7 linked regions of the Nothobranchius furzeri genome follow. The protein of the gene in region 2 interacts with the protein of the main gene of each other region in a biochemical or structural test. Links are inferred from orthologs where the notes say so. Each region holds a gene or a part of one and is shown on either strand. Other genes may lie near its edges.

Region 1 (3,500 bases), on a different chromosome or scaffold from region 2:
GTTATTTCTTTAGTGTGAGCATCGCCGTTCAAAGATCTTCTCATTCCGGTGTGAGAGAAGCAGCTGAACCCGGTGACCCCGCCAGCAACAAAAACTGGTAGAGATCTGGACTTTTTAAAAATCAGCTTCAGTGTAAAGTGAAATGCTGTTTATATGTCATAAATCCAGTGGGTGAATTTTGGCTAAATCAGAAAGTTGTTTGCACCGTTGAACAGCCGCAAGAAGAACTTAAGCTAACGTACGTAAGCTAGTTACCACTTAACTTTCATAAATCCTGGTATCTATGAGCCCCGCCTAGGTGCGCTACTTCTTCTGATAGCATTCCTTCTGATAAAGTAATGCCAACAATCGCAAAAAACGACAACAAAAACTATTTCAGGCTCTACTTTTCCCTTTGTTTAGTACACGTCGCTCACTGTTTACATGCTTTTGCCGTCCAGCATGGTGGACCCACATGATTAGTTGACGTAGGTGCAAAGGGTCAAAATCTGAAGGCAGAGTCAGGGAGGGCGGAGTCAGAGACGTACCTATGACCTGAGGGTGGTAAGTAAAGGGTTTAGGCTCGCTTGTTTCGTTGTCAGATTTCCTCTTCAGCTGGACGAACACCGATGTTGGCTTCTGCAGGTTCTGGTCTCGATACTTCGGAGTCTTGAAGACGATGGCAAACTGTTGTCATGACAACATGTTACCAAGAGAAAACACATCTTATTAAAAAATTATCTTTAACACAACATTTTTATCAAAACTTTAAATGAAGGCAAATTGTTAAAACACAGCCTGTGAAAACTTGCTGGAATCTGACTGCAGTTCAGACATTTTAATCTGCTTAATCTGTTTAAACAGCTTAATTAATTAATAGAACTTTAACTGCCACAATGTAAATTATGTCAATTTGTTTGAATTTATTGTGTTATGTATGTATCTTATTTCCCTGGTCTATTGTTGTTTCTTTTGGGGTAGGAACTAAGTTTCATGCTGTGTTGCGCACGGCCCGTTTTGGGTGACGGAAAGGGAAGTAAAAGAGCATGTGAAAAGAAGCTAAGCTATAACCTATGCAGTCACAGGAATGAATAAATAAGCAGTTTAAAGTAAGGGAAAGCTGTAGAGAAGACGAAGACGAAACCAGCGAATTATCTTTGTTAAGTTTTGTTCCTGAAGCGGATTCACTCCCTTATGGTTACGTGCAGCCAGCGAGTTTGACGGTGGATTAATGGTGTTTTGGAGGAGAAGTGTGAAGGAAGAATAAATCCATCAGTGAATGAAGAACCGTGGTGTCGTCTATTAACCGGAGGGAGCGAAAGTCAAACTCGAGGCCCAAACATGCCCTATCAGCGCAAGTTCGGCAGCTCATCAAGACGGGAACACGGTGGCACAGGAGTTAAGTGCTCGCCCCGTAATCGGAAGGTTGCAGGTTCGAGCCCCGCTCAGTCTGTCGCTGTCGTTGTGTCCTTGGGCAAGACACTTAACCCACGTTGCCTGCTGGTGGTGGTCAGAGGGACCGGTGGCGCCAGTGGCAGCCTCGCCTCTGTCAGTGCGCCCCAGGGCAGCTGTGGCTACATTGTAGTTTATCCCCACCAGTGTGTGAATGGGTGAATGACTGATTGTGTTGTAAAGCGCCTTGGGGGGTTCCAGGACTCTAGAAGGCGCTATATCAAATACAGGCCATTTACCATTTAGATAAGCCACTGTTTAGGCCACACAGGTTCATAAGGTTTTCATGAAGAAGTCTATAAGTCAGACTCTAAAGTTTTGGTCTGAAAAGTGACACAAGAGTTGAAAACTAAGAGGGACTGTGTATAACCTGGCAGCCACGGTGTTTCACGTATATGAATGTGCACTTAAGTAAGACATGTAAATTCATGTTCAGTTGAATAATAATAGTTGGCTCTTAAGGAGCAGAAGTACACCTTGTACATTTGGTAGATATCCAGTTTGTATTTACGGTTCAATGTCGTTACAAGTTCGGTGTGTGACAGGTTATAAGAAGAACTCTGTTAAGTGTACTTACTCTGTAATATGCTACATGGAGAGTGACTTTAGTTAGTTAAGCCCCTTATTCAGCATTGACAAATAGTGTTGCAGCTTGCTCTTGTATGTTGCCTGTGTACAAATAATCAAAATGTCACATACAAGTAAAGAAGCTCAGGGTGCAGCAGCTGCTCTGGAAGAAGAGACCGAGTTAGAGCAGACAGATGAATCAAATATCGAGCAAAATATAGCACCACCTGAAGTGCCTCGTAGAAGTGAAAGAGCCCGGACATTAACAGAAAAGGGAAAGGAGTTTCAGAAAAAGCAAATCAAGGGGCTAGCGCTTCGCTTTGACAGCAAATATGAACGATGGAAAGCTCTAATTAAGGTAGCTAAAAGATCTGTGTTAAAACAGGATACTAGTGACATCCTACAAGAACACATCATCGGTATTCAAAGGGAATTATCTGAATTGAACATTGCTTATGACGACTACCGAAAAATTGATCAACCATCCCATGACATGCGTCGCAAGATGGATAACTGCATCTCGATCACCAAGACTGTATTACGAAATGCTCAATTTGAGATACAGGGTACAGCTGAGGAGTTGATTTGGCCAGATCACAGTTCTGTATTCGCATCTTCAACTTCCAGTGTTTCACTTTCTGCCTCTAATGGTTCTAAAGCATCTTCTATTCGCTCAAATGTATCTTCACTTAGAAGACAAGAAGCTGCTGCCGAGTATGCAGCTACACGGGCTGTACTGCAGATTATGGCTGAACAAGAGGACCACCAAGAGAAGCTGCAAAAGCTTGAAGCTGAAGAGAGGTTGATCATCGCAGACCAAGAAGCAGCCGCATTAGCTCGTCGTCTTGAAGGAGAAAGAGAAGAAACCGAACGCAGGCTAGAAAAAGAGAAACAAGAGGCCGCTCTCTTAAAGAAACAGCAAGAAGAGAATGCGGCAAGAAAGAGGTCTGTAGAGAACCTAAAGAGAGAGCTTGATCGTTTAGAGAATTTGAAAAGGATGAATGCAGCCAAAGCAAGGCTTCAGGTGTATGATGAGAATGAGCTCAGCCCAGCACAAGGGAATGCTCCACAGAGCCTAGATCTACATAAGGTTATGCAGCCACGCAACCAAATGAAATCTGACAACTGGCACTCACAATCACCAAAGGATGCAGTGCCAACACATGTGCTTCAAGACAGCACAGGAGAGCTTGTGAAAGTCTTAGCTGAGGCTATATCAGCAAATAGGCTACCCATTCCAGAGCCCACAGTTTTTAATGGTGATCCACTCAAGTTTAATCATTGAAAATCATCCTTCCAAACTCTTATTGAAAGGAAAAATATTTCAAGTTCAAAGAAAATATTCTTTCATTAAGGGAAGAACGCTACAATCGCTGCAAGACACCATTCAAGAAACCACATCCAATAGAGTTGTACATGATGGTAACAGTGCTCAGACTTCAGCAATAGTTCCTGTTTATGCGTCAATGCCTGGTAATTCAAATAAAGAGGTCCTTGTCTAT
Region 2 (3,054 bases):
AAAAAGAGGAGGACTAATAAAAAGGGAAAATAACTCATGTCAGAAGAGGGGAGAGTTTCGCAAATCCAGTTAAAGGTAAGCTTGTCGAAAATTTAGTGTAAGGGGCCCCATGTCTGTGTTCGCCTTGGGCCCCCAAATTGCTAAATCCGCCTCTGGTTCGGGGATCCTGGAACTCCTTGTGAAGCACCTCTAGCAGGTGGAGTCGTCCCTCAAATCCCAGAAGCCGTTTATCTATGGACTGTAGTAAATCTAAGACATCCTTATGGGGAGATGAGGCCTCGGGCAAGTCCTGGGGACGGCTCCTCTTGGTCCCAGGTGTTTCCGTCTCAGCTGCTGCTGCTTTCTTCGGTCCCATGACAAAAATCTCAAAAACCTCTATGCTTTTATTTCATCTTATTCCAGCTTACAACATGATTATGGTGCATGATGTGTTTAGTTTGAGAAGGCTCTAATAATATTGTCATCTCAGAGCACTAGTTATGCAACAAGGAAAGACACTGTTTTGAGGTTTAACTGCAATTCTTTTTATTGAATCATGACAGCTTTACAAAAGATTTTCATCTGGAAATATGTCTACTATGCATGAAAATGTTATTACTTTTTGTTCCTTAAAAACATCTTTACCTCTTGATTAGTTTATAAAACATAACATTTAGACACCTTAAGCTACACCTGTTCACAAAGTGCAGATGATGTCGCTAAAAACATACAAAGGTCCCCATTTCGTTCACAAACAACATCACTTTCCTCTTGGAAGACGTAACTTTTTTTTTTTTACAAGAAATCTCAAAAAGTACATTGCTTTTTGTAAGAAAAGCATAAATCACACTGGCACTTTTAAAAACCGTGACAAATGTAACATTTCAACATTTTACAAAAGGTCTGCAAGGTAACACTTAACAGGTTAAACACGGTAACCATAGTCAAAGATTTGCAAACCATTTATAAGAAACAAAGAAACAATCCTTGGGTCACAAATGATCACAAATCAATCGCTCAGCATCAGCCCTGATCATTTTTCTATAAAATTAGGCTGAGATTTACTGAAAAGCATCACTTAGTCAGTAAAACGATATTTGATCGTAGCTTTAAGGTCCAAAATCCCCTAAGTTCATTACCTCTGTTATGCCATTTATTAGCTATTGTTGATTATTTTTTGTTATTTTGTTCAGAAAGGATATTCTAGCAAGCAACCAAAGGAAAAGTGATTCTTTAAATTAATATATTAAATCAATGTCTAACAAAGACTCAGTGATAAGACTCAGTGAAATGTAGTTCAGTAACAAACAAAGTTACTTAAAAAAAGGACAAATGAGGTTAAAGATAAATTTAATTAATACTGAAAATTTAAAATATTCTCTAAAACATAAAAAAACTGTACAAAGGTAAAGCAATGCAGAAGCCCTACTCACCCCCCCCCCCCCCCCGCCCAAAAAAAATAAAAAGAAAAGGAAAATCAAACTTTTGTGCCAAAAGAGTCAAACAAATCCAGTGAATATATCAACACAAGACAAATAAATAACCAGTGTACACATCCAGGAGGCGTTCTTTCTGACAGACACTACCTTTCAACAGTTTCTAGGTTTTTCATACATTAAAAAAACATAAATATAAAACATCTTTCTTTCAGCTCACAAAATGCACATAAATAAATACAAAATAACTAAAACTGCTCTTATTAGTATAAAAACTGATTATGAAAAGGGAAATTTCTTCAGTCTTGTCACAAATTTGTTACTCTTTATGACAGAAATGTTGTTGTTTTGTGTGTTCTGTGTTCAATCTGAGCAGGTCCAATTTATTTAAACTTCTCTGGGATTAGATTAATCTGTGAATGGATGCTTGTGGGCGGGCTAGAGATGCCCTCTGACCAGTCGGACATGTTGGAATGTGGGGATGAGCTGGACCACTGGTCAGGGGAACCAGGGGATGGGGTCAGAAAAGGATGGTCGGGCACCTGTAACTGGTGGTTGGGTGTGTTGTCCATAGGGCCTGTGTAGCTATGTTGGGAGGGAGGGGTAAGAAACTGGGTACCAAGCATCTGCGTCTCCTGTGGCATAATAGTGTGGATGGGCACTGATCGTCCTGTGCTGCTGTTCGGCTGCATGTCTGAGCCGTTCAGCTCAACCGTTGGGAAGCTCTGGTTGAGGGATTGACCAGCTGTTGTGGAATTGGAGTTTTGATGCTTGAGCTGCCGTGAGCGAGCCTGCTGCATCAAGTGTGCAGACGAGCCAAGGTGGCTGTTCTGTAGATTCTGGTAGCCCATTATCTGAGACAAAGTGGCAGTACTGACACCATGCAGGGCACCCATCATGCTGTGTGCAATGGATGGTCCTTGGGTGAAGCTTCCCTGCTGGCCTACGCCTGGATGCATCCTGGGGATCCAGTCACACTGACCCCCTCTGCCACCACCTATGGAGGTGGTCCCCTGAGCATTGGGACTGGACACGGGAAGGTGAGAAAGACGGGGAGGGTCAAACGACATGCAAGTCATATCTTTACCCAGATTAATCTGGCCTGTAAGAGAATCTCCATTGCCTTGTAGATGATTTAGAGACATGGGGGATTGCTGGAAGGGCGATGCCATAGGAGGAGAAGCTACATCAGAAAGGTAGCCATGAGGCGACTCCAGTGATTCAACTGGAGAAAGAACAGATGTTGTGTCCAGCAAGTTACTCTTTCCATCCAGAGATTTTTTCTTCTTAACCCTAATGTCCTTACCCCCATCCTTCCCCCCTTTTCCACTAGAACTTGATTTCCGGGACTTCTTGACAGAAGGAGCTGGCTTGAGGTTGCTGAGATAGTCATTGGGAGAACATAGAGGTGGAGAGAGTGTGGAGGTGTTTAAGGGGGCACTGTGAAGCCCAGGACTCCTAACCACGTTGTATTCGTCTAGAAGCCGAACAATGTCATGATGCATTCGCTCCTGGGCGATATCCCGAGGCAGCTGATCAAGATGGTCAGTGATCTCACGATTGGCAAAGTGCTCAAGAAGAACTTTTGCAGTTTCATAACTGCCTTCACGGGCTGCAAGGAACAGTGGGGTCTCCTCCT
Region 3 (3,500 bases), on a different chromosome or scaffold from region 2:
GAAAAGACTGAAAATCAGGCACACACAGCGAGCCATCTGCTGAGCAAGCGGCCTCGAATGACTGTCAGCTCAGCAGTTTGCTCTCGTGTGAGGCAGCCCTAATATGGCATCGCCCAGAGATGTAGACCTGCTCCCATGTATTTTGTTTCCAATTTTTATGGTTATATGTTATGAATCCACCAATATTGTAATTTTATTCATTATCAACAAGATTTCGATAATGAATATATATAGTGTATATATAAATATATATATAATTTTAATAACTAGCATATTTAACCTATGACTCATGATTTAAAGATTTTGTGAAATGCCTTGAAATGACTCGTGATTTGGCACTATACAAATAAACTTGAATTGAATTATAGACTAAGGATCCCACAACCTGGCCCTGGATAAGTGGAGGAAAACAGATGGATGGAGATTTAACAATGTATCACCAAACTAGATGGTTTTGAAAAGAACTGAAATGGATCAGGTGAAGTCACATTTGAGTTGTCCAGTAGTCAGGTTCTAAATAAAACCCAGACGTACTGAAGATATACGTGTTATCTTGACTTGGTGATAGTCTTTCTGCCCAGTTTACATTGTCTTGTTTTCATCACATCAACCTTGCTGAATCCATATTGTTACCAAATGATTGATGCACGTTTTTGGAAACAAGCTTCTCCACGACTAAACCTATGTCAGTTGTAGCCCGCTGATCAACGCTCTCGGCTGACCATCAATAACTGCGGCTGGCTGCAGAGTGTTGCGGACCAAGCGGCGAGCGTCATTGAGAAGAGAACTGTTACAAGATTTGGGCAGCTACGAGCAGCCGTGGTCCACAAGTATTGAGAGAATCAGAACTATGAGCTGCAAGCAGCCCACTGCTTCCATATTTAATTCGTTCTCCATTTCCTCATTTTGCTTTTCTTGTTACAGACTCGATGGGTTGGAGTCACATGACTATGTGACTGGCTGTGACGTGTACCCCACTGGTCTGTGTCGCAGCTTCTTAAAAGGGACATGGACATCAGCAACTGACTCACATTTATAAATAAATGACGTTGGTAAGAGTTATACATTTGCGTAACGGTAAATTTTCGCTTTACCACCCAGCCTTAAGCCTGGTTTATGCTTCTCCGTCAGCTCCGCAAGGGACAGACACGCACGGACTGACGGAAGCGTTTTGCTCTTGTACTTCTCCGTCTCCTGGAGAGTGTTGCAAAGCAATTGCCCTGCAGGACAACAGAGGGCGTAGCGCTGTTCTGTGGTTTCCTGTCATGCATCGGTCCAAGATCGTGTGTTTATATTGTGTTTTTTGTGTATATAAGTGACTTTTAACAGGGACATATTTGTCTCTCATTCTCCCACCCCTTCATGCGCTCCCCACCTCTAAACCCACGTTTCCTGTCATTTCCGTCCACAAATAAAATGCTTGCTGCGCATCTTTTCACTCCTCCAGTCACGGGAGAATTAAACGTTCATATTTTTAGAGTTTTTTCGCGAGGTATTCTTCAAGCTTCTCCGTGTCTGCCGCTAGTTTTCCTCGGCTCTCTTTGCAATGGCGGCGCTGTAAACAACAGCGGCATCCTGACCAATCACAAGCTTGCGTAATCCGTCTCGTTCGACGGATGTTTAAAAAAGTGGGCTCGACTCCGTACGTACTTGCGTGCCCTACGCAAGTACGGATAATGGCGTTGCGTGTCTCCGCACTGACGCAGACGGAGAAGCATAAATCAGGCTTTAGTCTACACCGTCCTCTGGTATGTTAGGCTGATGCGGAAAATCTCCAAGCAGGATAGAACATTTATTCCTGCAGCTCCATATCCAATTATAAGAGATACTCTGGCATGTTCTCACTAAACACGCAAGCATGAAAACTTTTTCTCACCTGTAAACTGACTGACTGGCTGCTGTGGAAAAGGATTCTGATTGGCTGGTGGTCCTGGCTGGTCCTGGTACTGTGGGGGAGGTCGGGTCAGGTGTCGCTGCAGCTGCTGTTGCTGCTGCTCCTGTTGACGCTGCTTCTCCTGTAAAGGGTTCATGAGTCAGGATCATGAATGATTTACAGCACACCAATAAACTACAAAAAACATCTTAGAACAGAGAAACTTGAGTTAAAAAAGAACCACAAGCAACCATAAAAGAAGGATTGCTGCTTGGGTGGATAAGGGGAAAAAAAACGTGGCATGATGGGAAAAGTGAACAAGCTTCTGATGGCTCCAGCTGCCTCAGCAGACACTCTGGTCAGATCTCCAATGAGGGCCAGCTCCCCCTGGTGTCTGAGGTTAAAAGTCAGCTCAGAAACCTCACAGTAAGCACAAAGTGGAATCACAGGTGAGTCTCACCTGTTCAGCCATGAGCTGCCTCTGCACATACTGCTGCTCCAACATTTGATGCTGCTGCTGCTTCAGTGCTGCTGCCATTGCTGCCTGTTTGTTTGAGTACACAGCGTTATTACGTTTAATGGACAAGGCGTTCACTCCCTGCGGCGCCACCATGTTATTGGGCCCAGGCGTCATGGTGTTGACAGGGCCTGTGCCGTGTGGAGGGGCAGGGTAGGTGTTCTGGTCCTGTAACAAAACAAAAAAAAAAGATAGAAAGAAAAATGTAATCACCTTTAGACAAATACTTCTCTCACCTGTAAACTGACTGACTGGCAGCTGTGCTTATTCAATCAGAATAAAGATATCAGAAGTCTCCTGACTACACAGCAACACTCGTAGAAGGAGAAAAAGTCATCTTTAAAACTTATTGGGGGATTTTTAGTACAAGGGATAAATATTCAATATCCAAGTACAGTTCTCTCAAATAGCTGAACTCCTGATTATCTCTAAACAGTTGATCAGTCTGCCTAAATATGGCCTAGGACAGATTATAGCGTGAGACTGTAGAACAAAGCCTAACCTCTGTGTGTGTGTGTGTGTGTGTGTGTGTGTGTGTGTGTGTGTGTGTGTGTGTGTGCGTGTGTGTGTGTGTGTGTGTGTGCGCGTGTGTGTGTGTGTGTGTGTACATACCTGTGAGTGTGGTATGTGCTGAAGGAAGTTTATACCGTTGGGTTTGGATTGTGGTTGCTGTGGGCGCACCAGACCGAGGGTCTTGTCTTGGTTCTGAGCGTTGGGGGCTCTCGGTGGACCCGGTCCTGCCTCGTAGTGCGACAGAGGTCTAGTGTTGTGGAAGTTCAGGGACACCTGAGTACCTTGTCCTGAGGGGTGGCTAAGTGGGTGTCCTGAGGTCAGGGAACCAAGCATGTTGGGGTGCCCGGTAGACCCCTGCATGCAGCTGCCTGCGCCAGACTTCGGCGAGCCTTTGTTGGGCTGAGAGGGCATCAGCAACTGCTTTGAGGAGTTAGAAGTGAAGTCAGGAGGATACAGGGAGGGGCTCTGGGAGCTGTTGGACATCTGGGGCCAGGGAGGGGGGTTGTGGAACTTGGTCCCCATCTGGGGCTGTTTGTGCTGCTGGGCTCTCTGGTTCTGGGCTGCCATCTGTTTCAGCTGCTGCGCCCGGGATACGTC
Region 4 (4,092 bases), on a different chromosome or scaffold from region 2:
TACTCGATTACAAAAATATTCGATAGCTGCAGCCCTAGTGTGCAGACAGCATGCCCCTCTTTGTGAAGATGAAAGGGTATCAAATGCTACACGGACGTTTGAAGGGGCTAACAGAAACAATAATATGCAACTCCCTTTGAATTCCATCTTGCTTGCGTCTTCTCTGTGCTCCAAAACAGCTAAAGAAGCAACTTGTTTTCAAACCAACTCACTAAAAACTCATAAGCAAACACCCGTACATGACAGAAAATATCATGCACATTAGGAAGCCGAGGAGACGGCCACACGGATTCTATTTGATCAGTCAACAAAACAAAGAATCAATCAAAACTGAGCTAAACGGATGCTGATTTCACCACACACAGGTAGGCACGACTATCTGAGGACAGGTTAGCCTGGTGAATGCATTATCATTGCACAGCAGGTTTATCTACCTGTGTTGCATCATTTGCATGCAAAGCTCACTGCCAAAAGAGCTCTTTTCTCTTGACAGCAGCGCAAGATGATAAGGGTAATGCAAGTTTCTCAGAGAATCTCTAAACCACAGAAAGATACATGCTCCTGTGTTCTCCTTCGCCTCCCTCGAATAGCTGACATACTTAGACAGTGGGTTCAGTGGAAGATAACCAGACAACTCCCTTTTTGGTAAACGATGGGAGAAAAATCTGCCATTTTGCTCCATTTTTTCCACTTCAGAAAAAACTACTGGGCTTAAACCGATGAATGAATAGGAATAAACATGGCTGACAGTAGTTGTCTTGTTTCTGTAGACTTGTAAACAAAAAGTGAGATTTGATGTTTAAGGGGCCTAGCTATGTGCTGTTTTGTTTTTTTTTTCATCTTGAATTTATACAATTACACTTATCCAACCAGAATAAAAATATTATTAGCAAACAAACACTATTCCCTCATAATGAACGACAAAACAGCATGTCATGATACCATCAAGGGAATTGTGATGGATCCAAACTTCCTGACAACATTCCCATCTGAATAACCTGGGCACATCATCCTCCTGCTCCTGGATCTGTTAGTAGGAGGTAATCTGACTACTGTGTTTATCTGCTCACAGATACAACCAGAGTAGAATGAAGAGTGAGCAAGATCTCACCAAGATACCATCACCTTACGCGATCACATTAACGCACCTTAAACCATCCAGCGTGTTAAGAGCATGAGTCACGGCTGATCCAGGACCTGTCGTTTCAGCCTCATTAACATGTTCAGAGCTGAACCAGTTACGCCTTTTTTCCCCGGAACGTGCTAAGTCACTTCAGTTTACAGCTAAATAAACCCACTCTTTCTTTAGCACACAACGTTTTAACAATAATATTACACACCAGCGACGTCGTGACAACAAACCAGCTCGGTGGCTGCACACTCCAGCCGGAGTGACGTCCATCTCTTAAAAGTTATCCTGGTAACTTGAAAGTGGTGAGCTAACTAGCTAAATATCATCCCATCTCAGACTGCCACATACAGAATGACATCTCCTTTGTTTGTGAGAGAAATCAGACCTCGGAGCTTGCATTAGCCTCTTCTGCCATGTAGTCAGGGTAGTAAAAGAACAGAATAGTGTCACGTAACCGGGAGCTAGTGTAGCTTGGTGCGCAGGGAGGGGGGGACTAGCGCAGCTTAGCTTGGGAGCTAACGGTTAACTAGAAACGCTCGTCCTATCAACACAGAACGTCTTTTGTTTTTTCTTTCAACATACCTGTGACCACCTCTGCGACCCAGAAGGATCCCCACCGAGACCGTCACCTGTGAGTCACGAGCCGTGCCGTGCCAAATAATTCAAATTCCACAAAAAAGTCTCGGAGAGACCCGAGCAGTCCAATCGCTTCAGTCACCGCCGCTGAATGGCTGCGACCCGGAGACTCAACCAAACCTCCTCCTTGGCAACGGACCGCCTCCGTGCGAGGCCATTGGCTGGCGCGCGCTGATCGGAGGTGATCGATAGCTGATTGTAACCTGGGCCGGAGTCAGTGACGCAGTTGTGAGCGGAACAATTACCACATGCGCAGAGACGCTCATTTTTGCTGTGAAACGGAAGCCACAACAATTATGGGTGGATATAAAGACAACGTTTTGTCAATGAAAAATCAGAATCTTACATGTTTACAGGTGAGACTGGAACCATTAGTTCAGTTAGTCAACTTAAAAGGTGAAACTAACATATTGGAATAATTCCAGGCAAAGACAGAAATTTCAAGCCTTTATTTGTCATAACTGTAAAGATTATGGCTTACAGTTTATGAAAACCCCAATATCTAAATCCTAGACCATTAATATTCTAGGCTAATCGGCTTGATCGGAAACACATGCAAAGGGTTCCTGAGCCTTTAGTCTTTAGCCTCTCAGTCTACGTTTATTTACTGACATAAATTAATTTTTGCACCAGATTCTAGTTTTATTGTTTTTTTTATTTGTTTAAAACACTGGTGATTAATTCAGGTTAACTGTAACCCCCATCACACACGCACGCACGCACACACACACACACACACACACACACCTGATGATCACACACTGGCCCCTTCAAAAGGCCAGAAGTTTATCAGCATTCCTCACAAATAGCTAAAAGGTTACAGAACAAGCAGAAACACACACACACACACACACACACACACACACACACACACACACACACACACACAAGGCTAAAAGTAGTTGGACCTGTTTTGTAGATTCTTACCTTAGCTGTGGTGAAGAATCTGTTGCTGTCCCAGATTAACTATGCCTCTTTATCTGTGACTGTTTTTTGTTCTCCGTTAAGTTTCTCTTCTGATTCTGTTTCAAGGTTTTACAGCAAAGAAGCACCGATCAACCTGTCCCAGAATTTTCCCTTTGAGCCTCACATCCCCTCTTTTGTTAGGATGGGCTGCCTCCTGCTGGAAGGTTGGACTGTCATCAGGTCTTTTTTCTTGAACCTGAGATCCTTATAAAATAATCTAATTAATGCAGGCGAAACAGCATTTCAATATAAAACAGACAAATGAATATAATTCTCATAACTATATCCAATACAGTCCACCCAGAACAGAGATGAGAAACAAATCTGTCAATAATTTTTATTTTTAGCTGAACATACTTTTGATGTGCTTAATTTTAGCCCGACCACAGGCTGCAGAACAGAGCAAAACATATATGTGGCTCAGCAGCCACAGAAATCTCCAGGGTTGTTATTTTGTAGGTCAGAACCTTTAAAGTTCATGAACCTTTGTTAGCTGCAGCTAAGGATTAGGGTTACCGGGGTCAACGGGAATTAGGGGTTAGAGATTTGTGTTCTAGTGATAGGAGCCTTCATTTACTTAGGCTGACCTTTCAACTTCACCTCACCTTTCATCATGCTGTGACATAATTTTATGACCTTTCTAGGATCTCAGTATCACAATCTGTCCATGCTGTGAAATAAAGTATCTCCATAATCTGACTTCTCAAACATTTGGATCTTATGGTTCCTGGGTTTTGTTAGCAGGAAAAAGGAGGATTGTGTTTTTTTTCTCAAAAAGCAATCATTAAATTCTGGCTGAACAAAGTGAGTCGAGGACCTCTGCCATACACCTTTATCTACAGACACATAACAAAGTAACTCGCACCAAAGCCTACCGACTAGCTGTAAGACCCGTGGAGGAACCTACTGGATTAAGTGTGTGTGGGAACTGGTAACACGTCCCTCACATCACTGTAGAGGAGTCTTGTCCTGCTCTTCTCCACAGAACAGTCTGAATTCAGCTCCATTAAAGGGTTCTCCAGCAGATATGGCCTGTTTAAGGTCAGATGCTCTCATTCAGGATGTCCTGCTAGAGAACAGAACCCATGGTTCCATCAACAAGTGTTCCAGGTCCTGAAGTAGCTAAGCAGCCCCAGACCATCCCACCACCACCACCGTGTCTGACTGTCACTGGTTCACAGAGCACCTGGTTGGTCTGGAGTCTTGTTCACTTAGTAAATGAACTCTTGTGTGAAAACTGTCTGAAATATTAATTGGTGAATGTGTTCACCAGCTCTTCTCTGATTAAACCCCGTCTCTCTCAGGATCTTGAGCTTCTTGCTCCTCTTTAACCACAGCACATAACCAAAATTTAATCA
Region 5 (3,500 bases), on a different chromosome or scaffold from region 2:
TTATCAAGGGGGATGGTGTAACCCTGAACAAGAGCACATCAAAGGACTTGAAATCTACCCACAGCTGTATTCAGACTAAACCAACCAATGTTCCCGGTGAGTCTGCTCACCTTAGCGTTCTTCCAGTTGGAAATACACGGAGGAATCTTCCACTCCTGCTGCTCTTTGACCGTCATCTACAACAAAGTAAGAAACTCCATCAGAAGCAGCCATAGCTAGCTCATCTTCATTTGCTATGTAGCATCAACAACCAGAGGGCTTCCAACGTTTTAGCTGACCTTTCTGCTTGGAGAGTGCATGACCGGGGCGGGAGGGGAAGGGGGTCCTCGAGGAATCTTCTTATTGATTCTGAAACGCACAAACACTCAAGTTAATTCAACAATCCAGGGATGTCAACCAGACGATGCAGAACTACAGAGAAACACGGCTTGGATCAGGAAAGTTGAAGAAGCAAGTTTAAAGTCTTGTGTGAATTTCTACAGACATGCTAGCCGCGTTCCGCTAGGACTGCCGGTACCCGTCAGCTTCCTCTGGAGTGCCACATGCCAAAAAGACCTGATAGGACTCTTTCTTCAGCTTGACAGCATCCCTAACCGCCGGTGTCCACCAGCGGGTTCGGGGGTTGCCATCACGACAGGCACCGACGATCCTGCGACCACAGCTCCGGTCGGCCGCCTCAACAATGGAGGCTCGGAACAGGGTCCATTCAGACTCAATGTCCCCCGCTTCCCCCGGAACATTTTGGAAGTTCTGTTGGAGGTGGGAATTGAAGACAATCCCAGCAGACCCTCGCGATACTTTTGGGCCGGTCTGGTCTGACCGGCATCCTCCCCCACCATCTGAGCCAACTCACCACCAGGTGGTGGTCAGTTGACAGCTCCGCCCCCTCTTCACCCGAGTGTCCAAGACGTGCGGCCGCAGGTCAGATGAAACAACAACAAAGTCGATCATCGAGCTGCGGCCTAAGGTATCCTGGTGCCAGGAGCACATATGGACACCTTTACGTCTGAACATGGTGTTCATTATGGACAATCCATGACTGGCACAGAAGTCCAATAACAAAACACCACTCAAATTCAGATCGGGGGGGCCGTTCCTCCCAACCACACCTCTCCAGGTCTCACTGTCGTTGCCCACGTGAGCGTTAAAGTCCCCCACCAGAACGAGGGAGTCACCGGAAGGAGCGCTTTCCAGCACCCCCTCCAAGGTCTCCAAAAAGGGTGGGTAGTCTGAACTGTAGTTTGGTGCATGAGCACAGACCAAAGCCAGAACCCGTCCCCCCACACGTAGGCGGAGGGAGGCTACCCTCTCATTCACCGGGGTAAACCCCAACGTACAGGCACCAAGATGGGGGGCAACTAGTATGCCCACCTCTGCTCGGCGCCTCTCAGTGGGAGCAACTCCAGAGTGGTAGAACGTCCAACCCCTCTCAGGGAAACTAGTTCCAGAGCCAGAGCCATGCGTTGAGGTGAGTCCGACTATATCTAGTCGGAACCTCTCATCCTCACACACCAACTCAGGCTCCTTCCCCACTCATTAAATGTTTTTTTGTGACAACTCCAAACTGAAATATATTTCCTTTAGACGACATTTGCTGCCCAACTTAAATCAACACAGAACAAAAAGTAGATCACCATTTCAAACCGTCTGACTTACTTAAAACGAGGAGGCTCCATCGGATCTTTCTGCATCTCCACCATACGGATAACTCGCTGCTTGGCTCCTGAATTAAAAGCCACCCCCTGCTGGGAAGGAGTGTATCTGAAGAAGACAACAATAGCACATGACTAATGTCAATAGAACTGTTCCTAACACACACACACACACACACACATGTTCAGCTTCACTACACACCTGATGTATTGTGCAGGAGCTTGTTTGTCTGCGGCTCTGACGGGCATGGCAGCTGCGATCTTCTGAGACACTTGCTTCTCCAGGGCGGCACGAGTTTTCTCCGTCAGCTACAGAGGAGGAACAGGAACATTTATCCAGTTTATCATGATTACTAATGAGAATAAAACAAACAAGACACAGCAGCGGTTTGCCAGTGAGATGAAATAAAACTTGCAGATAAAGGATTCAATGGTTCAAACAGCCTGTAAGATTCTGGGTTGCAAATAAAAGGATTACTCCAAATAAGAAATAACAGCTGAGTTAAAGCTCGCCTTTGATTATTTAAAGGTAGCATTAATGCATTAGTAATAAATGAAGGATAGAAAAACAGAGCTGCATCTTCTAACATGTTGTATGACATCGTACCTCTTGAACAGCCTCCTCGTCTGGCTTCTGCAGGCCTTGTGCATCTTCATGAAGGATCTCTTTGGGAAGCAGGTCGGTGTACTTGCTGAAGATCACCTGCAATAAGGAAAATACATTCAGTGTTGAGAAACTACAAAGGAAAGCTCACAACTAAAGCCTGATTTATGCTTCTCCGTCTGCGTCAGTGCGGAGACACGCGACGCCATTATCCGTCCTTGCGTAGGGCTCCGGCAGACACGCAAGTACGTACGGAGTCGAGCCCACTTTTTAAAACATCTGTCGAACGAGACGGATTACGCAAGCTTGTGATTGGTCAGGACGCCGCTGTTGTTTACAGCGCCGCCATTGCAAAGAGAGCCGAGGATAACTAGCGGCAGACACGGAGAAGCTTGAAGAAGACCTCGCAAAAAAAACTAAAAATATGAACGTTTCATTCTCCCGTGATTGGAGGAGTGAAAAGATGCGCAGCAAGCGTTTTATTTGTGGACGGAAATGACAGGAAACGTGGGTTTAGAGGTGGGCAGCGCATGAAGCGGTGGGAGAATGACAGACAAATATGTCCGTGTTAAAAGTCTCTTATATACACAAAAAACACAATATAAACACACGATCTTGGACCAATACATGACAGGATACCACAGAACAGCGCTACGCCCTCTGTTGTCCTGGCAGGGAATTGCTTTGCAACACTCTCCAGGAGACGGAGAAGTATGAAAGCAAAAAGCTTCCATCAATCCGTGCGTGTCTGTCCCTTGCGGCGCTGACGGAGAAGCATCAACCAGGCTAGGGCTGTCGCGGTTGAGGAATTCCCCCTGCGGTGATTCAGGGTGGCTTAATATTGCGGTATGCGATATTATTGCAGTCCTTTTTTTATTGCAGTACTATCTAAACATAATGTTTACACATTTAAAAAAGGTTAAAAATTGCCGTGCCTTCTTTTATAACGCTTTACTGAATGCAGCTCAAAGGGCAGTAACAACACAGATCGCAGTAACGTTTGTTTGTCCGACAGTCGGAGTCCGACTGAACTTAAAAACAACAAAATTCAGGAGAAGGTTAAACTTTTAAATGCAAATTTAGCTGCAGCATCTAACAAATAAGAAACAAGTCCCCATTTTGTTTAGTTGTTTAAAATCAAGCATAAAAAATTGCATGTACCGGGCGCGCGCGCGCCGGGGGGCGGGCGCACTATCATTTCACTTTCACACACACACGAATGACGGTGATTTATAGCTCGGTCA
Region 6 (3,500 bases), on a different chromosome or scaffold from region 2:
TTACAAATAAATTCTTTAAAAATCCTGCCATGTGAATTCATGGATTTTTTTTCACATTCTGTCTCTCACAGTTGAAGTGTACCTATGATGAAAATTACTGACCTCTGTCATCATTTTAAGCGGGAGAACTTGCACAACGGTGCCTGACTAAATACTTTTTTGCCCCACTGTACATAGGCCACCTCCTCCGCCCAATCCATGCTTGTAGTCACTGCCATTCTGTTGCCCCAATGTCAGCAGGGTGCACATCTTAGTGACGTCATGTGTTTTTGCGATATCGCGGTATTGCAATTTAGCCAAAAACACTATCATTACCCAATTTTAGATCGTTTCTACCTTATTTCGTTTATATTGCCCACCCCTACTTCCCACACACACATTCTCTCTCTCTCTCTCTCTCTCTCTCTCTCTCTCTCCTCTCTCCTCTCTCTCTCTCTCTCTCTCTATATATATATATATATATATATATATATATATATATATATATATATATATAAATAAACTATGAGACCGGATGTTTGGGGCATCTTGCCACAGTTATAACTGTTTGACTTGTTGTTCATTGTCTCCTTTTTCTCTCCGACTACAGGGAAATAGGTTATTGATAAACTTACTGATCAAATCCATGACAGAACCCATCTGTGATGAGTCATAAGCCACCTAATCTGGTGGCACATCAGGCCTTAGTCAGTTTCTTTTTACACAGCTCAACCAGCTCAATCACAAAAGGTCTCTGTTGTGAAAACTGCTAAGTTATAAATAAACTATTAATGAAACTTTTAATTTAAACTCATAACAGATCCTTCTATAATACCATGCACATTTAACCACAGCTCAACAGAATGTGTGCAAAGCCAGATGGCTCCTCCAATGGGCCATTCCCATCTGTACCGGGTCGGCCCGGGCCGGGTAGCCCCAGTCGGCCCCAGCCTGGCCCGGTTGATTCCACACATCCTTGTCTTAAGCCCATGTGGGCTGATTCTACCCACCAATCAGAGGCTTGCTCTAATGGAAGGTGTGAATTTGCTGTCAGCAGTGGGTGTGTTGGCCCTGGTCGGCCTGAAGCAGACCCCCTCGAGAAGAGGGCTGAGAATGAGCCTTGGTAGGCCCGGAAAAATACCAGGCTACCCAGATATGTAAACAACCTACGCTACCCGGCCCGGGCCGACCCGGTACAGATGGGAATGGCCCACAAGTGACTAAGGCCCTGATAAACACACCTGGTCGGTCAGCTGTGTCAGATCACAAGAGGCCCAGGGGAACTAAACCTGACTGAATTGAACAGAATTGTAATGGAGAACAGCGTCTGAATCACAGGATCCACTAAAGAATAAAAACTATACGGATCTAAATGTAAGAAATGGTGCTGAACACAAATGTGTGTTACTCTAAACACTCTTTCACATGAAACTTTGAACAGTTTACTCTTTACAAGTGCTAAACAGGATGTGCATTTTTGGATTTCAGATATAAAATCATGTTTCCCAATCAAACATGAAACAAGTTTCTGACTAACAGTGTTGAGTTTTACAGTGCTGGAGCATTCTGGCCACTGGGTGGCGCTGTTGTTTCAAACAACAATGCAGCGCTGGTGCAGAACATTTTCAGAAGTTTGTGAGACTACAGGAACATCTGGCCAGATGTGATTGTAAAGCTACTCACAGACGTGCAGAACGGCTAACAGGATCCATTAAGCTGCTTACCTTCTTGTTGGAAGAACTTTGGTGTGTGAAGAGCGAGTCCTGATTATTCCTGGGGGCAGACACTTTGTTCCTGAGAGTGGGGGAGCGGAGCCCATCTCCCACCTCCTCCTCCTCCTCCTCCTCCTGCTCAAACTCATCACTGTCTTGGTCCATCTCTTCGTCATCCTCCTCCTCCTCTTCCTCCTCACCCTCATCCCTCTCCTCCTCTTCCCTTCCTTGTTCCTCCCCTCCCTCTGTCCTCTCCTCTGTCTCCTCCTCCTCTTGGTGGCTGCTGCTATTGTTGTTCTCCTCCTCTTCTTCCTCTTCTTCCTCCTCTTCGAGGTGCGGCTGGCCTCGGAGCGCTCTCTGCTCTGCTCCCCACACCCATCGGACTCCTTTATAATCCCCGGTCACTTCATTTAGCTGGCCTCCTCTTCTCTCCTCCTCGTCTGCTTCTCCTTGAGGGCCGTTGCTGGCTCCTGACTCGGCGGGTGCCCATGGCTGCTCCCTTTCATCATCAACCTGTGACGCATCCGGCTGCAAAACGCCACAGAGAAGAATAACAATGACCTTTTAGGGAAACCCAGTTTATGTTCCAACATGCACAAAATAAAAAAAACCTCACCCTCTGCTGTGGCTGCTCGCTTTCCTCAACCACCCGGTTGATGTGATCATCTTCCTCACCCTCCTCTGCTGCCTGCTGGGGTGCCCGGGCCGTAGAGGAGGCGTTACCTCGTACTGCCTGACCCCCGGGGCCCCGGCTCCGCCTGCTGCTGCTGCCCCCCGACAGCAGATCCTGGTTCATTTCCAAAAGCCAGCTTGCTACCTCCTGAACCTTCGCTAGGCTGTCTGAGGAGGGGATGGTCTTGACATTCTGCAAAACACAAACAGAACACTTAAGCTATGCTTAATGCATTGGTTGTTATTCCTCATCTTCTCTTAAACTGTCTGGAGTACTTTCCATAAAATCAGCCAAGTTATTAAATATTATTGATGTGGAGAATTAGCTTGTGGGAAACCGATTGTGCTGCTCAGCAGCAGACAAGCAACAGTGATGGGTGTGATTGTGTTTTGGGACAGGAGCCACAACGTCAGAGATAAATGTAAACAACTCTCTTGTAAGTTTGTCAAATTACAGAAAAAACAATACGTCAAATACAAAAGCTAAATATTGTTTCACTGTAAAAGAAGATGAGAGCTGCAGCTCCAAACTTGTCGCTCCACACAGTTCTAAAATATCTAAAATCCAAAAGAAAGCTGCTGTTTCATCTTTAATCAAATAAAATTTAAAGTTTACTCATTTAAGTACGTTCTTAATAATTAAGGGACCTGCTGCTGCAGCAAGCAGGGACCTTATTGTTATGCACCTGGGGAGTTTTAGATATTAATATCCGTTATTATTCTTCCGCGGACGTTAACGCGGCTCGAGCGGCAGCGTGCACCCCCACAAATTATACATCAAAATAAACGGCTCAGCAGTGGGAGGTGTGCTTTTACTTTTCTAAGCATTTTGATTTATGATGGTGAAATTATTAGCAAAAAACATATTCTTTTATTCATTTTGAGTGTGTCTAAATTTGCATTAACTTTGCATGATTATGATTTAATTATGTGCACAATAATGGATGAATTTGATGGCAGGCCTTCTAAAGAGGCATTTTTTTTACATGTGTATGAATGTTATCTTGTGCCAGCTGGCAGGTCCCTTTTTAAAAATTCTTCAGGAATTTTCTAGTTAGAAATTGTAATTTACATCAGGCAACATACTAAACCCTGAAAGTTGACAGATCAAATCAGATTCTGTAAATTACCAAAAGT
Region 7 (4,232 bases), on a different chromosome or scaffold from region 2:
AATAGCCGGCTGTGAAAAGGGAAGGCACAGAGAAAAGAAAGTGCAGTTCAAGCATATGTAACTCTTTGCAAACAAGGCCCCCCCATTAGGGCTCACATTGCTGAAACAGCACAACAAGTGACAAACAGCCGGCTTTAATCCCAGCAGCCTCGGAACAACTCGGTCACAACAGAAAGAATGTCCCTTTGCATCTTTTTATGAGCATACAACAGATTACAACAAATTGGACATCTGTATAATTTCAGCTATTGCACGATGACACAACACACTTGACCATTTCATGAAAACTCTGAGATACACACGGGTATAAAAGATGCCAAGATGCCAGCAGATGTATTTGTTTCAGGCATATTCATGTGATTTATGAGAAACTATTATGGTATTAAATAATCTTCAGAAATTTTCTACATAATTAAACGACTAAACCAATTTGCTTCTCTGCAATATTTCTGTTGACAAACCTTTAATATTTATGAAATCTACACGCTGGGAATCAAACACAAATTCTGAGGAAAGTTTGTGTACTCTGACAGAAACAGATCCCTATGTCAACATGAGAAGCTGTAGAACACTGCTAAGTGTGCATGCACCTGCAGGGACATGTCATTACTTTAAAATACACATTAGAAGACAGGAAGGATATATACTTTTAATTGTTTTAATATAAATAAGCAATACAACTATATTTCTTAGCAGTGCAACAACTATTAAAAGTGGTATTTAAGTAGAAATAACCCAAAATGCAATAATTACTACCTGTTCACCATAAAAAATGTTTAATTCTGAAAGCCTGAAAATCAAATAAATCAAACATAACTTGTTTCTGTCTTTCAGCCTTTAGATTTGAATGACCATGCAAAAAATAAGCAGAACCAAATCTGCCATTATCAATAGAAACGGGTAAAAAGTATAACTGACAAGATTTTCCAGCATGACCTGTTTCCTAACCTTTATCTCTTCACTATAGAAGAAGTATGACCTGCTTTGACTGATGTTTGTATTTGGTAACCTATAAGTGTGTGCACACATTTTGTTATTCAGTTCACTTTAACAGCAGCTGCTTCATTCAAGAATTTAAATGTGAACAACAATTAAACAGGATTTTTTAAATCTAATAATGGTTGAAATTTGCTCAATTTAAATGGAGGGGAATCAATATTTCTCAGTAAATATTGACCATTTACCCCATGCCTAAAAGTTGACAAATACTCTTGTGATAAGAGAAATCAAATATTTCAGGGCTGATACCTGATCATTTCACAACGTAAATGTACTTTTGTATAAAAGGGGGAAAAAAGGCTGAAACTGAATTTAATTTATTTTATTTTTATTTTTTTGGTTCTCGTAAACCACTGCTTTGCTGAACAGTCAGCCAACAGAAATGCTCAGTTTGGGGCAGGAAAAGGTGTGAAAACATAATTTCCAGTGATACGTCGCTTCCTGTAATAAATATACATGTTTTGTTGAACATTTAATTCAAACGAACGGCTTATGACGGGTTCCTAATTGATGTGCTTTCGTTTAAATAAAACACTAACTTTGAGTCAAACACAACAAACCCCGGACTTACTTGCAAGTTACTGCATGCACACCTCAAAACGGGCCTTCCCACATGAAGGTTAGCCTCCACGGAATTAAAACCCGAATCTGCTTCCTACAGACTAACTTCTATCACACAGCGAGAAGAGCTAGTTTGCGTTTGCATACGCGAATTGCCCATAGCTAATTTTATCGTGTGTCTACTTACGTTTGCATAAAATGTCAAAATACGAATTAAGGCCCACGCTGTCGCACAGTATTCAGCTAACCAGCAAGCGAAATGACAGCAATGCACACCACCTGTGCAAAACTGCTAGCCTGCTAACAGCTAAATAAGCTCGAAAATGCATCTCATCTTTGGCTTTACTTCTGCTAGCATACGCCTACATTTGCTTGCGGAAAAATATCCGCGAATCGGAACTTGCACCTGATATTGGACGTGTATTCAGTAGTATTGATTTAAGAAAACAAAGTCGAGAAGGCCCGTGTCAGCAGAGCAGGTGGGCCGTGCAAACACGCAGCAGTTTCCTTTCCTGTGACTTCTCTCTTAACAAATAATTCATGACAATCGTAGAATCTGGTACCAAGCAATCCCTGTCGTTTCATTATGCGGGCTGTAGAACCGATTAGATGAAAAAATGCTTTCGTAGCTTTTAAAAATAGCAGTAAGCAGTACTGCTGGCTCATTTGAATGGAGGATCGCACGGCCTGTTAGCAATGTTACCATGCTGGTTGTGTTTCATTGGGAGGAGGGGGGGTGGATGGGGGGCATTAGCAAGCACTTTTCAGCACTACGAATTTCAATGACACGATCAAATCGCTGTTGTAAATGAAAACACACAACTTAGCATAACACGAATATGGTATGATAATTATTTGGTGAACATGTTTTTGCAAAAGAGAGGTGATCGTAAAGCTTTAAATAACGGTTAGATGAATTCCACATTCAGTTGTTTTACTGGCTAATGCTAGCCGAGCTACCTGGTTGCTGTAAGAAGCCATGCTCCTGGTGAGATTTTCTCCCCTCCGCTGACCAGATGAAAACTTCCCCGGGAAGGTGTTACGGGTTTGTAATAACTGCAAACAGTGCTCTACTTTGACGTCATTGTCAGTGGTCCATCGATGTATTTTCAGTTGAAAACTGTGATCCGTGTAATGCATCCGCACTTCATGGTGCTCGACTTGCCATATTCTTCGCTAGCTAGCCAAACCAGCGCGCGGTCGACGAGTAGCAGCGACGGCTCGTGGAGTGATGGTAAATACTTCCGTTAACGGTTAGCTTGTGCCTTCACAATAAAAACATTGGGAATGTCGTAAAGTTGTAATATTTTGGGCAAATTTATTTAAAAAAATTACCAAAAAATGGCATATTACAAAAATTGCAATTATTATTTACCTTTAACATTTCAGTCTTTATCTCTGAAGAAATATGTTTTTTTTATGTTTTCACAAACATGTTTCATAAGAGTTTCATATAAACTTGTTGCATTTAGTTTTACTTTGTACAATTTTTTTAATTATCAATGAAAAATAAATGAATAAAAGTAATTGTTACAACAGTGGGACTTATGTGGTATCAGCTTAGTAAAATTCGCCTTTTATTATTTCAGTCAATGTGATTCGAACTCCAGCAGAGCTTTGATAAGTTTCATTAAGTTTGTCTGTAGAGTTGTGTACTTGACTCAGGTGAAATTCATTTCAGCAGTGCCCGCCTCATCTTTAACATTTTGATTTAATTGTGGGTTTATTCTTTGCAAAGGTCCCTGTCATTTGTGTAATTCCTCAAAGGTCCATCTTGGGGCCAGTTCTATTTACATTATGGGTCCTGTATCCTATCTTTCACATTTTTTAATCATCATTTAGAAAATATCCTGATCTAAATGCCCTTTAAGAAAAGAATAGAGAATAAATTAAATTTCTTTGAAGAAATGATATCTGCAATAAACTGTCAAATAATTTGAAATTAAAATTTTTAATGTTAAAAATAAAAAGCTTCACCCCTACAACATAAACCCTTCCTATGAAAGTAAATAAATATAACTAATAAACATACACGTTTGTAATTTTGTAAGTAGCCTATAAAGCATTTTATTTTTTAATGAGACCTTGAAACAAACTGCCTCCTTTGGCTGTTAATTAAATCAGAATTAAACGAATAATGTGATACAGGACAATTTTTGTAGCTTTAATGTTAAATAGGTTAAAATAACAGACTATGGACATTGTCTGAAGGGTTCCACAACTAGACAATAGGTCCTATTTATTTACTTGTTCATTTAGTTGTTTATTTCAGCAGTGAACATTTTGTTTAATACAACAGGTAGACTATATCAGCTGTTAAAACTCTCGTATACAAAATGAAGAAAACAAATTTCACACGAATATCTCCAATCTGTTATTATTTCATATACTTTTATTATGAAAAGTCTATTTTCCTCGGCGGAAATGCTTCGGATGAAACGGGTAAATTCACTTCGCTTGAGCGCTGACCTCGTGGTCGTGTGTCGTCCGGGTTGTGGCATGAATTGCCAAATTTGGTGTTCTAGACATTAGTTTAACCGAAAACAAAAACTTTTATAACCGTTTTCAGTTTGATCTAAATCTTTGCGAAGAGGTTTCCATTTTTGTCCAAAACAGCAAAATAACAGCAGTTTTTTGTTTGGGAGTCCACACGCACTAAATAAATGGTGCAG

Evidence for each region.
Region 1: the proteins of notch1a (region 2) and nfkb1 form a complex in vitro, tested with the Homo sapiens proteins (2 studies listed by BioGRID). The link is inferred for Nothobranchius furzeri from reciprocal best matches to the Homo sapiens genes NOTCH1 and NFKB1.
Region 3: the proteins of notch1a (region 2) and maml1 form a complex in vitro, tested with the Homo sapiens proteins (2 studies listed by BioGRID). The link is inferred for Nothobranchius furzeri from reciprocal best matches to the Homo sapiens genes NOTCH1 and MAML1.
Region 4: the proteins of notch1a (region 2) and numb form a complex in vitro, tested with the Homo sapiens proteins (2 studies listed by BioGRID). The link is inferred for Nothobranchius furzeri from reciprocal best matches to the Homo sapiens genes NOTCH1 and NUMB.
Region 5: the proteins of notch1a (region 2) and snw1 form a complex in vitro, tested with the Homo sapiens proteins (3 studies listed by BioGRID). The link is inferred for Nothobranchius furzeri from reciprocal best matches to the Homo sapiens genes NOTCH1 and SNW1.
Region 6: the proteins of notch1a (region 2) and fbxw7 form a complex in vitro, tested with the Homo sapiens proteins (2 studies listed by BioGRID and IntAct, with this or other methods). The link is inferred for Nothobranchius furzeri from reciprocal best matches to the Homo sapiens genes NOTCH1 and FBXW7.
Region 7: the proteins of notch1a (region 2) and usp10 form a complex in vitro, tested with the Homo sapiens proteins (2 studies listed by BioGRID, with this or other methods). The link is inferred for Nothobranchius furzeri from reciprocal best matches to the Homo sapiens genes NOTCH1 and USP10.

The regions. Positions count from the first base shown.
Region 1 is NC_091741.1:65,304,963-65,308,462, forward strand, and holds part of nfkb1 (nuclear factor NF-kappa-B p105 subunit), read right to left. Parts: intron 667-3,500; coding exon 528-666; intron 1-527.
Region 2 is NC_091746.1:60,833,946-60,836,999, reverse strand, and holds the end of notch1a (neurogenic locus notch homolog protein 1), read right to left. Parts: intron 3,053-3,054; coding exon 1,799-3,052; 3' UTR 501-1,798; downstream 1-500. UniProt on the Homo sapiens protein: Functions as a receptor for membrane-bound ligands Jagged-1 (JAG1), Jagged-2 (JAG2) and Delta-1 (DLL1) to regulate cell-fate determination.
Region 3 is NC_091741.1:65,500,013-65,503,512, reverse strand, and holds part of maml1 (mastermind-like protein 1), read right to left. Parts: coding exon 3,003-3,500; intron 2,559-3,002; coding exon 2,334-2,558; intron 2,016-2,333; coding exon 1,877-2,015; intron 1-1,876. UniProt on the Homo sapiens protein: Acts as a transcriptional coactivator for NOTCH proteins. Has been shown to amplify NOTCH-induced transcription of HES1. Enhances phosphorylation and proteolytic turnover of the NOTCH intracellular domain in the nucleus through interaction with CDK8.
Region 4 is NC_091758.1:16,941,180-16,945,271, forward strand, and holds the start of numb (protein numb homolog), read right to left. Parts: upstream 2,801-4,092; 5' UTR 2,696-2,800; intron 1,871-2,695; exon of another isoform or gene 1,715-1,870; intron 1,709-1,714; exon of another isoform or gene 1,518-1,708; intron 1-1,517. UniProt on the Homo sapiens protein: Regulates clathrin-mediated receptor endocytosis. Plays a role in the process of neurogenesis.
Region 5 is NC_091742.1:20,654,240-20,657,739, reverse strand, and holds part of snw1 (SNW domain-containing protein 1), read right to left. Parts: intron 2,356-3,500; coding exon 2,260-2,355; intron 1,962-2,259; coding exon 1,855-1,961; intron 1,762-1,854; coding exon 1,657-1,761; intron 349-1,656; coding exon 279-348; intron 177-278; coding exon 111-176; intron 24-110; coding exon 1-23. UniProt on the Homo sapiens protein: Involved in pre-mRNA splicing as component of the spliceosome. As a component of the minor spliceosome, involved in the splicing of U12-type introns in pre-mRNAs.
Region 6 is NC_091747.1:80,809,342-80,812,841, forward strand, and holds part of fbxw7 (F-box/WD repeat-containing protein 7), read right to left. Parts: intron 2,557-3,500; coding exon 2,308-2,556; intron 2,220-2,307; coding exon 1,704-2,219; intron 1-1,703. UniProt on the Homo sapiens protein: Substrate recognition component of a SCF (SKP1-CUL1-F-box protein) E3 ubiquitin-protein ligase complex which mediates the ubiquitination and subsequent proteasomal degradation of target proteins.
Region 7 is NC_091749.1:59,303,010-59,307,241, forward strand, and holds the start of usp10 (ubiquitin carboxyl-terminal hydrolase 10), read right to left. Parts: upstream 2,801-4,232; 5' UTR 2,701-2,800; coding exon 2,521-2,700; intron 2,040-2,520; exon of another isoform or gene 1,907-2,039; intron 1-1,906. UniProt on the Homo sapiens protein: Hydrolase that can remove conjugated ubiquitin from target proteins such as p53/TP53, RPS2/us5, RPS3/us3, RPS10/eS10, BECN1, SNX3 and CFTR.